3 linked regions of the Xenopus tropicalis genome follow. The protein of the gene in region 1 interacts with the protein of each later gene in a pairwise test. Links are inferred from orthologs where the notes say so. Each region holds a gene or a part of one and is shown in the gene's direction. Other genes may lie near its edges.

What was found.
Region 2: the proteins of dctn2 (region 1) and gadd45a interact in binary tests that used the Homo sapiens proteins (3 or more experiments, as listed by UniProt). The link is inferred for Xenopus tropicalis from reciprocal best matches to the Homo sapiens genes DCTN2 and GADD45A.
Region 3: the proteins of dctn2 (region 1) and ccdc172 interact in binary tests that used the Homo sapiens proteins (3 or more experiments, as listed by UniProt). The two-hybrid records come from large-scale screens. The link is inferred for Xenopus tropicalis from reciprocal best matches to the Homo sapiens genes DCTN2 and CCDC172.

The regions. Positions count from the first base shown.
Region 1 is NC_030678.2:140,663,490-140,668,223, reverse strand, and holds the start of dctn2 (dynactin subunit 2), read left to right. Parts: upstream 1-1,553; 5' UTR 1,554-1,741; coding exon 1,742-1,777; intron 1,778-4,734. UniProt on the Homo sapiens protein: Part of the dynactin complex that activates the molecular motor dynein for ultra-processive transport along microtubules. In the dynactin soulder domain, binds the ACTR1A filament and acts as a molecular ruler to determine the length.
Region 2 is NC_030680.2:83,503,533-83,508,134, reverse strand, and holds the start of gadd45a (growth arrest and DNA damage-inducible protein GADD45 alpha), read left to right. Parts: upstream 1-1,706; 5' UTR 1,707-1,815; coding exon 1,816-1,859; intron 1,860-2,591; coding exon 2,592-2,693; intron 2,694-3,348; coding exon 3,349-3,562; intron 3,563-4,602. UniProt on the Homo sapiens protein: In T-cells, functions as a regulator of p38 MAPKs by inhibiting p88 phosphorylation and activity.
Region 3 is NC_030683.2:4,859,034-4,863,806, forward strand, and holds the end of ccdc172 (coiled-coil domain-containing protein 172), read left to right. Parts: intron 1-1,558; coding exon 1,559-1,646; intron 1,647-3,765; coding exon 3,766-3,783; 3' UTR 3,784-4,005; downstream 4,006-4,773.

The DNA.
Region 1 (4,734 bases):
ACTACAGAAATTGATATTGAAATTGAAAATTGAAATTGATAAACCACAGTTAAGTTATTTTTTAACAAGGGGGGCAATCACTTTTTCACACAGGGCCATGTAGATTTGGAGTTTTTTTTCTCCCTTAATAACGTAAACCTTCATTTAAAAACTGCATTTTGTGTTCAATTATGTTATCTTTGACTAATAGTTAACGGTTTTTGATGAGCAGAAACATTTTGTGTGACAAACATGCAAAAGAATAAGAAATCAGGAAGGGGGCAAATAGTTTTTAGGGATTGTATTTAGGTGGACCGGACATAAAACTACATACTGTATTTGCTTGTATGAATGCAGAGCTTGATTGGCTACCCACCTCCTATTTTGGGCTATCGCAGACACAATACTACTCTTTTAAACCATACAGAGGAAACAGAGAGTGGGGAATAAAAGTGCCATGATCAGTTTTTAGGCCAGAGTGACATCAGGCACATATATTATTCATACTGGCCTTCCGTAAAAGGTAGATTTGAGATGTGTGACAAGCGCAAGCATAACAGGAACAGTGAGTAAGGGGGGAGGCCTCTGCATAGGGTTGCCACCTTTTCTGAGAAAAACCCCGGCCTTCCTATATTTTAATCTTCTTTCCCTATTAATAACATTGAGATCAAATATCATTTTAACCACCACCACGCTGGTAAATTACCAACCACATGACAACCTTACAATAAAAAAAAAATCCATTTAATTCTCCATTAAAGGAGACATATCCTATAAAAATTAACAATGTACCAGGGAATTTACTCCCCTAGATATAGAAGGATTGTGCTAAAAAAGTTGTGTTTTGGACTGATTTATTGAGAAATTTGCACAAAACCCCACTAGCCCCGCCCATCTGTTCCACTTCCTGTTGGCTGAATTCTCTGGATGAGCTGGGGAGCCGGCGGCCCTCAGTACCCTGCACTGTAGGATAGGAACCAATCAGCAGCTAGGCTGACCTGATAGGGAACTGAAGCCTGGCTTTGCTTGTGTGAGTGCAAGGCTGTGATTGGCTCTCCCCCTCCTACCGTGCTTCCGGCAGGGACTGTTAGGACACACCCACTCTCCATTTGAAACACAGACAGCCAAATGATAGGATCTATAGGGAGCTCCAATAAAGGGGCCATTGTTACAGATAGGATTAATGTTTAGCCCAAAGGGAAACCAGCCATATATTATTCATAACTGCCTACAAAATTAGGGTTTTCCCATTTATCCAATATGTCTCCTTTAAACATAGCTGTATTAATTAAAAGAGTAAAATCCGTGTTTTCTTTCCTATACAGAGGTCCAATTCAATAAGCAAATAAACATAGAAGTACTGCGCTAACTATAGCTGTACGCCCGGCCCAACCCAAATGGGAGCACATCCAGATATACATCCGGCCAGCGCGGCTCAGACCAAACAAGCGTCAGAATGCGTGTAACCCTAACGCACTACAAAACAAACGGAAACTACATTTCCCGTCATGCAACAGCAAAGTGACGTCAGGTGAAGCGCTCCAATCTCGCGAGGTTTCCATCATTGCCGGATTGTCACGCTCGGTACCGGCGCTGGTATCTGTTGTGGCGCTCACTGGCTGCCGTTTGTGCTTCTCCATCTACTTCTACAGCGTCTGACCTGATAGAAGCCGTTGAGCGTGTGGCTGTCTGGCTCCTTCCGTCCGGCCCATTGCCGCATTGAGCCGCGCCCAGGCCCCTCCTGTCATCTCACGTATAAGACATGGCCGACCCCAAATACGCCGACCTGCCAGGCATAGTGAGTAATCTCTCATACACATCATACACCTGTACGTAACATTTATACAGATAGGCGCCTGTATGGCAGGGTGTAGGTACTATGTTCCGCCGGGTACTGGGTATACCACCTCCTGACATCAGGGTATTGGGGGGCTGAGAGAAGTAGTTCAGTGACAACTGGAACTGCTTTCTGTGAGAGTTCCAAGCTTGATGGACTTCTTTTAATTGATACTTGTAGGGAAAATTAGAAATGAATCTAATAGGACAGCACTTACATCATACTCAGCTTTGGGGCCAGTTTGTTCTTTGATTATGCAGTGATTTGATGGTTCAGCATGGCAGCTCCCACTCACATCTCCTGGAAGCTATATGTATTCCTTGTGTTTATACACACAGTATGCCTGTATGAGTAGGGCCCACTGGATCCTCAGGGGCGGGGCGTCGCAAACACTTTCCCTGTCACCTCTTGCAAGTATGTTATTTATATATGGTGCCTTCCTTCGGGTACTTGTATTTTCTCCAGAAATATATAATATGTCGGAAGATCAGTGGCAGATCCCTATTCAGAGGAATGAGGTTTGGGGGGTAGTTGCTTCAGTGGGTGGGGCATTAATGTAACTGGCAGAGCTTGGTCCAATTTGGGGATCATAGTTGCAAAGTTTTGTCTGGGATTTAGAGATTTGTTCAGGGCTGTGGAGTCAGAGGCAATTTTGGGTACCTGGAGTCGGCAAAAAATGAACCGACTCCGACTCCTACTAAATTTAAATGGGAAAAAAATAAATAAATAAAGTAAGTGTAAATGTCCCAATTCACAAACAGTCATAATTAATTACTTCTCTGCTATAAGAATAAAGCCCAATGCACGCAGTGCATAAACGAACACGTTGAGCGACCATGAAGCATGCTTTTCATTGACTGTATGAATGCATAAAATACATTAGCATATTAAAAACAGAGGAGTCGGAGTCGTAGAGTCGGAAGTATCAGAAACTGAGGAGTCGGAGAATTTATCTACCGACTCCACAGCCCTGGATTTGTTCAGACTATCTGGTTTAATATGTATTATATGTTTAATATAATACATGGAATATACTTTGGTTAACAAATAGCACACCACAGTCCTCATCTGGCAACCCCAAGAAACAATGGCATAACATTTGAGGACCCCCCACCCCACCAGGCAATCTTTCAGGTCCTCACATCAAGGCAGGAGAGGCTCAAACCCCCAGCAACCCCTCTACATAGGAACATGCACAACAGCAATTAAAAAGCTTGATGTTTGTATAATAGGAGGCATCCAGGCACAGACTGGCATTTAGTGGATATTGGCAAATGCCAGGGGGGCTGCTGTAAGATGCCATAGACAGTCACTATTTATTGGGCTGGTGGGGGCTGTTGGGCCTCTGTGTACTTGAAATGCCAGGGCCTATTTTGAATCCCAGTCTGGCTCTGGAGGTATCTGAGCAAATGAGACCGTTAACTCATAGTGTGTACAAGCATGTAAAATTTCTTGGTAGGCTTTGTTACTAAATCAGTTGCCATGGCTAGAGTAAAGGACAGACAGAAGTGCCACTAAAGCTGGCCATACGTAGGCTGATAAAAGCTGCCAACTTGGGAGCTTATCAGCCAAATGTCACTGGAGAAGGTTTTAAAATTCAGTTGGGCAAGTACTGTGCCAAACAGATCAGCCTGACTGGGCCCACAGCTTGGGTAGCCAAATCAGACACAGTTTGGGGCCTCACCAAACAACAAGAACTGTCATTGTATTGCCAGCTTTGTTCTGCAAGGGAGATAGATAAAGCATTCATCATTTATGGGGATTACATTACATTACATTACATTAACATTTATTTATAAAGCGCCAACATATTCCGCAGCGCTGTACAATATGTGGGTTACATACATTGGACATACAGAGTAACATATAAAGCAATCAGTAACCGATACAAGAGGTGAAGAGAGCCCTGCCCAAAAGAGCTTACAATCTACAAGGAGAAAGGGTTGAGACACAAGGTGTGGGAATGGGCATGACCAGAGTTGTGAGAGGTGTGGCACAGGGTATTGCTAAGCTAGATTAGGGTAAGCCTCTCTAAATAAATGTGTTTTTAGAGATCTCTTGAAGGCAGAGAGATTGGGAGAAAGTCTGACAGTTTGTGGGAGCGAATTCCAGAGAAGGGGCAGCCCTTGCAAAGTCTTGAATGCGAGCGTGTGAGGAGGGAATGAGAGAGGAGTTGAGGAGCAGGTCAGTAGAGGAGCGTAACAAGCGGGTTGGATGGTACCTAGAGATAAGTTCAGAGATGTAGGGTGGGGCAGAGTTATGGACTGCTTTAAATGTGAGGGTCAATAGTTTGAGTTTTATCCTGGATGGTAGGGGAAGCCAGTGCAGGGATTGGCAGAGTGGCATGGCAGAGGAGGAGCGGTTGGAGAGGTGTATGAGCCTGGCAGCAGTATTCATTATGGACTGGAGAGGGGACAGTCTTTGGAGGGGAAGGCCAATTAATAGGGAGTTACAGTAGTCCAGGCGAGATATTATAAGAGAGTGAATAAGAATTTTGGCAGCATCTTGGATAAATGATCGGATTTTGGAGATATTTCTTAGGTGAAAGTGGCATGATTTGATAAGTGATTGGATATGAGGAGTGAAGGACAGGGCAGAATCAAGGATAACCCCAAGGCACCGGGCCTGGGAAGATGGGGTGATGGTAGAATTGTTAACCGTTATAGATACCTCGGGAACAATGTGGGCGTGGGATGGGGGAAAGAGAACCAGTTCAGTTTTAGAGAGGTTTAATTTGAGGTAACGTTGGGACATCCAAGTGGAGATAGCGGACAGGCAGGAAGAGACGCGAGTTAGAAGCTCTGGGTTGAGATCAGGAGAGGAAAGATAGATCTGAGTATCGTCAGCATAGAGGTGGTACTGAAAGCCAAAAGAACTGATTAATTTGCCAAGTGAGGAGGTATAGAGAGAAAATAGTA
Region 2 (4,602 bases), on another chromosome or scaffold:
TTTTTGGGGATTATCCTGGGCCTGGAAAATCCAGGCCGGGGTTCCTTATAACATGCCTACTGGAAGCATCATTTACCTGTGCAGAGCAAATAGTGGCTGTTTCCATTAATAAACTAAAGCAAAAAACTATGTATGCCAATATATTTCACTGAACTCAACAATTAAAGCATGTAAGCCATATGGGAAATGGTGACATTCTCTATTTCACTGCATAAAAAGCACATCTAATGTCTGTCTGGCAATAATACGTATGTCTTGTGGGGAAATATTGCTCTGCCTTTGTGAAGTAGCCCGAAGTTGCCTCTTGAGGAACTTCGAAAATAGCTTGGCAGGCTAATACAGTAGAACCCCATCTTACATTTTTCAGGGGACCAGGAAAAAACTTAGAATTTGGAAAATGTAAAATCAGGTAAATGTGTTAAACCAATGATTGTACTTAAAGGACATAAGCACAGGGGGCAGTTTTACTTTGAAATACAACATTTAGTGTGTTAATGACAAGGGTTAAGCAGTGCAGCATTACTGTTACACTATGGGACAGCATTTGCAAGACCTCCCTGCCAGTCACATGCACAACCTAAAGCAATAAATGATTTGTGCATGACTGTATGAGCTGCAGCTATACTAGCATTTACTGTTTACAGACAGAACCATAGCAAAGTATGCATCTCTATAGTTATATAAACCTCTTAATTTTACTAATAATAATATTACAGAGGACAAAGACATTTATGGGAACATCAGGAGCAAAATCTGTGGAATCAATTTAAAAAAGGGAAAAAACACCCATTGAAATGCAAAAAAAAGGTAAAATGCAGGAAAATCCTTGAAATAAGGGTATGTAAAATTGAGGTTTCACTGTATTCTTTTAATGATGCCTCAGACCAGTGCTTTCCAGGTCTTTGCTGTGACATTATAATGTTATACCTGAACAGTAGGGGTAGATTGATGTCATATAAAGATGCTTATATAAGGACCCCCAGTGGGGTGAGTCTCCATTGGGATAGTTATCATGTAAGGTGATATCTAATATGCTAGCAATAAAACGTTATCATTCGTAATTTACCATTTAAAGTGAAAAAGAACAAATAACGTGAAGAAAGCTTTGTACCATTAATGAGACAAATGTAAGACTGAAAAGATAGTCCCTTGCAAGTTTTCCCTTTGACAGCTGAATGCATCTATAAAGATAATTGTACACGTTATTACAGCTAAACACTACTACAAATGCAATGGCCGGACAGGGCTAGCTAGCGCTTACATTCACTGTGGCAAACAAGGCTTATTTTCTTCTGTAATGTAATGTGTTTGAAATGATACCTTTATTTTAAAACAAAGACATGCAATTGTTAAAGTTTTCTGTAACAGTCGGTAAGGTTCCAATATTGTCAGCAGTGAAAGGGTTATTTACACAATGTTCAGCACCTGGTAACTGTATGGAGCCAATCACAGGGCAGGCCGCTAAGTAAGCCCCGCCCCGCACTCGCTGTACTCTCGGTTCCCAGAGTAGCAGAAGAGGTCAAGTCTGTGGCCGGCAGCCTGATTTACATGAGCCAATCAGCATCGCGATAGGCAAATGAGGGGAGCTGTGGTTGGTTGGGTGTATGCGTATGAAGCCGGGTAGAGAAGGCGTGAGAGCAGAGTGTGTAGAGTCAGCAATTGGAGAACACGGGGCAGCGGCGCGCTACTGTATCAGGCAGCAGTTCCGAGAACTGAGGTGAAACTTTCTAGTTCCCAGGAAGAGCCTTGCTGGCCGCAAAATCCACTACAAATCTGCAGCGCTACGGAGCAGTGCAACCCGTACAGCAATATAATATGACTCTGGAGGAGCAGCTGTCTGGGGATCAGAGCATTGGAAAGTAAGATCTCTTGCGCCACAGAGCGGGTTATAGTGCGGATGGGGCAGTCTGTGTTCGTGCGGATGGGGCAGTCTGTGTTCGTGTGTTGCTGCTGTTGCGAGGACTTGCCTGGGTCAGAAAGGGGTTTGTGGGGTCAGCCAAAAGCATTGCGCAAAATGGTAGTTTGGTGTGAACAGATGCCTTCCATGCACCCATCTGCGCTGTGGGCACTTGCACCTCCTCTTGGGGTCGGTGGGTGCTACATCACAACGGCCCATGTAATCATTTTGTTACAACGACCAATAGCATAGCCGCCCCGGTTGCCCCTTACTGCAGCAGGGATCATTTTGTCATGAGGTGCATTCGCCCTATGGCCCCTTGCCCCTGGGCTTCTGTTCCTTTTAAACTGTGGCCTTCCTGCTTGTATAGGACTTCAGCTCCCAGCATCCAGCACAGCCCAGTGCTCCTTAGTGGCTTCTGCAATGGCCTTTCAAATGGCTCACTTTGGGACTGAGTTTTTGTTCAAAAGTGTAAATCTGTGATAAATGTACTCTCTGTAAGTAGCTATATGTAATGTGTGTGTGTGTGCACATGTCTGTGCCTGAGAGGTATTCTAAGTGCCTGTTGCTGCAGAACTTACTCAGACATAGTGCCTGACTCATGCATGGTTAGGATGCTGTTGGGAATAGCTCAGGAGTCACATTTGCATGCTTTGCTCAGATGCTCATGAGTGTTTCTTGTGTTATTCTGCAGGATGGAGTCAGTGGGAAACGCACTGGAGGAAGTGCTCTGCAAGGCCAAACTGCAGAGGACCATCACTATTGGGGTGTACGAAGCTGCAAAACTTCTCAATGTGTATGTAGGCTTTTTTTGTTACTTCCCCTTAAAGTCAACTTTAACATTATGGTTGTCACAGTGCACAAATCAAACTTAAAAATAAAAAAATCAAGGCTGCGTTTACCTTTTAGATTAAGTTTTAGTAATATATTCTGAGACTATTTGCATTGGCTCTTTATCTGTTATTGTTTGTGGTTTTTGAAGTATTTAGCTGTTTGCTCAGCTTTCTGGTTGCTAGGGTCCAATTTACCTTGACAACCAGGCAGTGGTTTGAATGAGAGACTGAAATATGAATAGGAGAAGGCATGAATGGAATACAAAGGTAATAAAAGCAACAATAACATTGTAGGTTTACAGAGCAATAGTGATTTTGGCTGCTGGGATCAGTGTCCCCCAATTACAAGATAGCATTTTAAATTGCAAGCTAGAAGAGTAGGAAGGGAAATTAATTGTAAAAAATGAGGAGTATTTGAAAAGTTGGCAAGAATAAGGCATGCTCTGACAAAAAAAAAAGTTAGATCAAAGGTGAATTGCCCCCATTAATTCCATTTAGCTTAGCGTTTGGAAACGCAGATTTATATACATACATTAATGGCGTTTACTAATCAATATTGCGCTGGGTTTGAAAAGAGGCTGACTTTAAATGTTTTCTCTGCACCTCTTGTTTTCTCAGGGACCCAGACAACGTTGTGCTCTGTTTGTTGGCTACTGACGATACCTACGATCAGGATATCGCTTTACAGATCCACTTCACCCTGATCCAGGCATTTTGCTGTGAGAATGACATCAACATCCTGAGAGTGAGCAACATGAGCCGGCTAGCTGAGATCCTGGGCGGCTCTGACAAGCCTGGGGAACCTGCTGATCTGCATTGTATTCTAATCAACGTAGGTAACACTCTCATGTGGAGTCTGCCAGGAGGGGCTTGGGTGGGTTCTGCTGTTTGCATACCAAGACAATAACGAGGGGCTTTGTAAATGGGATACTGTCACTCCTTTAAATTTACCCTGCTTATTGTTATTTGAATGCTGAATAACTGATTGTTTAGTAATACCATAGTGCTATGTTGGTCATTACATTCCCAGGTAAATAGTCATGCTTCCTCCTATTATGGTGAACTGCTGCACGGAGAAAAGTAAACACCATATCCAAATGCATTTATAATTATAGGTTACTTTCCATTTGTTCCCCGTAAAGTATGAGGGCATAGCTTATATGCACAGAATGTTCCTTCTCTGCATACTTCTCATAAGTACAAGCGGGAGCAGTCCCAGTTTCTAGCTCAGTGAATGCAGTGTGTACAGGATGTTGTTGCATTGCTCCTGTTGCCTCTGGGGAGACTTTCTGTATGGGCAGGGACAGCTCTTATATAGAACGGCAGCACAGGAATGTTCTGTCCACATAGTAATCCATGCCTTACTGTTATACAGTCTCAGACATAATACAGTCTTTTATTGAGCATTCTCCATTACATTTAATTTGTATAGTTGCCTTGGCATTGAACTCGTGCCACAACTTTGTTTTATATTTAAGATATACAGTACATGAAACCAGATCTATGTCTGTTGGATGTCCAAGGCTAAAACCACATTCTCATTTATCTTCAACATCAATGTGGCACTTTGAAGACTAAGTTGTTTTAAATGCCAAAGCCGCAGTTATAAAGGCTGCACCTGTGTTCCTTACAGTTATAGAACTGCTGCCATACACCTACACATTTTGTTGGCAGATTATGCCTTTACCACACCTACATTGCAGAACCCGGTGCTTGCATTTCCCCTGATCACTATAGCAAAGGAACAATTGGTGCTCAGAGGGAATTGTAATCTGGTCCTGCCCTACCCTTGGTTTCTATTGCCAGTTCGTTGCACCTTTCCCATGCTTCTCTATGACTGACTCACTGTCACATTCCTTACCAGGCCACCCC
Region 3 (4,773 bases), on another chromosome or scaffold:
TTTGCAATTTAATTTTATGTTAAGTTTTATAAGCAGAAAATATCAATCTTCCGAGCCATATATTTCATGGTGTGTGAGGGGTTTGTAATAGCGTCAGTTGCCTCTTCCTGCTGTATAATATCAACTTTTGGGGGGGGGGGGAAAGCTGGGTCTGAGCCCTGCAGAATAGTATTTTATTTTACTTATATTTCCTACTTCCTCTTGCATTATCCCCCCCTAACCCTTACTCCTTCTGTCATGGGAAAATATAATTGTTACAAAACCCATCAGTTAATAGAGCTTCTCCAGCAGAATCCTGCATTGTAATCTGTTTTTCCCATGGGGCTAGCCATATTCTTCATTTCCCAGGGTGCCACAGCCATGTGACCTGTGCTCTGATAAACTTCACTCACACTTTACTGCTGCGCTGCAAGTTGGAGTGATATCCCCCCCCCTCACCCCCAGCAGCCAATCAGCAGAACAATGGGAAGGGAGCAAGATAGCAGCTCCCAGTAGGTATCAGAATAGCACTCAATAGTAAGAAATCCAAGTCCGGCTTGGGACTCCTCCAGTTACATGGGAGTAGGAGAAACAATAGGTTAGCTGAAAGCAGTTCTAATGTGTAGCGCTGGCTGAAAGCTCAGACTCAGGCACACTTTACTGCTGCGCTGCAAGTTGGAGTGATATCCCCCCCCCCTCACCCCCAACAGCCAATCAGCAGAACAATGGAAGGGAGCAAGATAGCAGCTCCCAGTAGGTATCAGAATAGCACTCAATAGTAAGAAATCCAAGTCCGGCTTGGGACTCCTCCAGTTACATGGGAGTAGGAGAAACAATAGGTTAGCTGAAAGCAGTTCTAATGTGTAGCGCCGGCTCCTTCTGAAAGCTCAGTCCGGCTTGGGACTCCTCCAAAAAAATGGCAGCTGCTATATTAAACAGAGGGAGCTTCTAGGGCTGTTACTCAGGTATGGTAAAGCTTTCTGTAGAATAAATATAGCATTCTAGGTGGCACTATTGTGGCCAATCTATTGGCCGTAAAATGCCTTTTCTTCTCCTTTAACAGTAGATCTACTGAACACAAAGGTACTTTGTACTTATAGCCCAATCATACACCGAGTTGCAAGGTGTCTGTCGCTATTGTATCAGGATCCTCACAGAACTGCTAATCAAAAATTCAAATAATTAAAAATCTTCAATTAATAAAAAATGAAGACCAATTGCAAATGTTACTCTCTACTAAAAGTCAATTCAAAGTTACACCACCCCTTTAACTCTTACATCCCTTGCATAAGGCTCATGTAAAGATGTACAGACAAGAAGGGGGGGCTATGTAAATGCCAAAAGATGTTCTAATAAGTGTTGGTGCTAATAACCAAAATGAGCCCTTATTCCTTTTACTGTAAGTCCATGGTGAGTGGGGGGATCTGTGCAACCAGCTAATGGGACTTGGGTCACAGAGATAACATAGCAACGGTGAAAATCAGGGACCGGGTGAATCTTGAAATTACAATGAGAAACAAAGCAGTCGTTTCCGATTCTTATTTCAAGTCAATATAACGCTGATTTTCTATGTGCACAGGCTGAAAAAAGAACTGGAGTCGTACAGCAGTGACGATTCTGAGGCTGTGTATGAAGCGCTGCGGCTGGAGATAGATTTCTTACAGACGGTATGTTCATTGGATGGATACAACGTGCATTTTAACCATACACAACATTTTTTATTGGATCGGGTTAAGAGTTATAGCGCTGCTGTGCGTTTATTCAAGTGCAGTATTGCCCTCTGCCCTAACAGGTATGAACCCATTCAGGCAACCCTCCCTGCTGCCTCTTCTCTATGTCACATCACTGACCCAGTTTCCCAGCTGGTTTATCTAAGAACTGAGCACTCACTGGGTTATGGGATGGATTGCAGAATGATAGGGGTAGGGCTCAGAGGTGGGCCAAGCCGACTGGGCGCCCTAGGCAACCCGGTCGGCCACCTTGCCCGTGTTATGACAACCGGCGGGGGCAAGTGAAGGGAGAGCAAGCTAGGGGTAGGCAGGAGAGGTTGCTGCTTGGCGCCCCCCAATTGTTGCACCCTAGGCAGGTGCCTCTTTTTCCTACCCCTAGTTCCGGCCCTGGTAGGGCTTTACCAGCAGGAAAACAGAAGATATCAATGGTGTGCTCAGGGGCAAACAATCGAATTAAAATGGCGGGTATAGGCAGATGGTCCAGATGGAAAAATCAAACCTGCCATAGTTAGTGCCCATATGCCGGGCAGATAAGATGCTGAATAGGTCTAAAGGGGGGGGGAAATAGGAAAGGAATGGAGAGGGGATGAGAGACAGAAGGAGAGAGGGGAAGGGAAAGGGGGTTCGGGGAGTAGAGAGACAAATGGGGGGAGAGGGGAAATATAGAAGGGGGGAGAAGAGGGAGGATGGGGGGGAGTAAGGCCAAACAGTTGGGGGGGGGGGGATAGGAAAAGGAATGGAGAGGGGATGAGAGACAGAAGGAGAGAGGGGAAGGGAAAGGGGGTTCGGGGAGTAGAGAGACAAATGGGGGGAGAGGGGAAATATAGAAGGGGGGAGAAGAGGGAGGATGGGGGGGAGTAAGGCCAAACAGTTGGGGGGGGGGTAGAAAGAAAGGAGAGAGGATGAGAGACAGAAGGAGAGAGGGGAAGGGAAAGGGGGTTCGGGGAGTAGAGAGACAAATGGGGGGAGAGGGGAAATATAGAAGGGGGGAGAAGAGGGAGGATGGGGGGGAGTAAGGCCAAACATTTGGGGGGGGGGGTAGAAAAGGAAAGGAGAGAGGGATGAGAGACAGAAGGAGAGAGGGGAAGGGAAAGGGGGTTCAGGGGAGTAGAGAGACAAATGGGGGGAGAGGGGAAATATAGAAGGGGGGAAGAAGAGGGAGGATGGGGGGAGTAAGGCCAAACAGTTGGGGGGGGGGATAGAAAAGGAAAGGAGAGAGGATGAGAGACAGAAGGAGAGAGGGGAAGGGAAGGGGTTCAGGGAGTAGAGAGACAAATGGGGGGAGAGGGGAAATATAGAGGGGGGAGAAGAGGGAGGATGGGGGGGAGTAAGGCCAAACAGTTGGGGGGGGGGGAATAGAAAAGGAAAGGAGAGAGGATGAGAGACAGAAGGAGAGAGGGGAAGGGGGTTCGGGGAGTAGAGAGACAAATGGGGGAGGGGAAATATAGAAGGGGGAGAAGAGGGAGGATGGGGGGGAGTAAGGCCAAACAGTTGGGGGGGGGGAATAGAAAAGGAAAGGAGAGGGGATGAGAGACAAAAGGAGAGAGGGGAAGGGAAAAGGGGGTTCGGGGAGTAGAGAGACAAATGGGGGAGAGGGGAAATATAGAAGGGGGAGAAGAGGGAGGATGGGGGGGAGTAACGCCAAACAGTTGGGGGGGGGGGGAATAGAAAAGGAAAGGAGAGAGGATGAGAGACAGAAGGAGAGAGGGGAAGGGGGTTCGGGGAGTAGAGAGACAAATGTGGAGGTGAAAATAAATCCAAAAAGACAAAAATGAGGTCTAAACAAAAGTAGAGTTAACAGGGAAGAAGAGAGAACAGGGCACAGATAGAGAGAGAGGACTAACAGTGTCTCTGTATTAGAAGTCCATGTATATTAGTGGCACCACTAGCACGAGGGGGTGGAAGGGCTGTTATACAGTAGGGCAGAAGTTTGGATATAGTTCATAAAGAACCAAATTCGGGTGGGGGGGAGGCTTGTTTAGGAGAATGGTACATCAAATTTCTAAGGTTTGGCAAATTAATACAAACATTACATTTGTTTTTTTTTTACCCCCAGAAAATATCCCAGCAGTGAATGCCATGTGTTTGGCAAAATGATCCTGTGCTGAACTGTACCTCTCTGCAGTTTGATATGAAGCTGATTACATTCCAGGACTGGATCTGTCTGGTGACTTGGATTTGCAGAAGTTACTGTAACTCTTAATCCATTGCTAGTTTGTATAATATAACAAGCTGCATATTGTTCAGCTTCAAAGATATGAAATGTTACTTTCATCAGTAAAGGTAATTTACGTTATGTCGTATGTCTCTTAGTTCATTTGTATTTCAGCTGGCACTGTAATAGTAATGCTCTCAGTCCTGCCTCTGGATTTAGAATGTTGCTATGGGTGAGCTTACACCCAGTATACAGCTCAGTATCACTCATGTATTATAAGGGATAATGTACCCCCTACTGTAAATGATAAGGATATTAGCAGTCACTGAGGGGTTCTGTGCCCCCCATATAAAGGCACAAGGCTGCAGGCTGAGTTATACAGGGAACTCTGAGTATCACTCATGTATTATAAGGGATAATGTACCCCTACTGTAAATGATAAGGATATTAGCAGTCACTGAGGGGTTCTGTGCCCCCCATATAAAGGCACAAGGCTGCAGGCTGAGTTATACAGGGAACTCTGAGTATCACTCATGTATTATAAGGGATAATGTACCCCCTACTGTAAATGATAAGGATATTAGCCTGCAGCCTTGTGCCTTTATATGGGCACAGAACCCCTCAGTGACTGCTAATATCCTTATCATTTACAGTAGGGGGTACATTATCCCTTATAATACATGAGTGATACTCAGAGTTCCCTGTATAACTCAGCCTGCAGCCTTGTGCCTTTATATGGGCACAGAACCCCTCAGTGACTGCTGAGTTATACAGGGAACTCTGAGTATCACTCATGTATTATAAGGGATAATGTACCCCCTACTGTAAATGATAAGGATATTAGCAGTCACTGAGGGGTTCTGTGCCCCCCATATAAAGGCACAAGGCTGCAGGCTGAGTTATACAGGG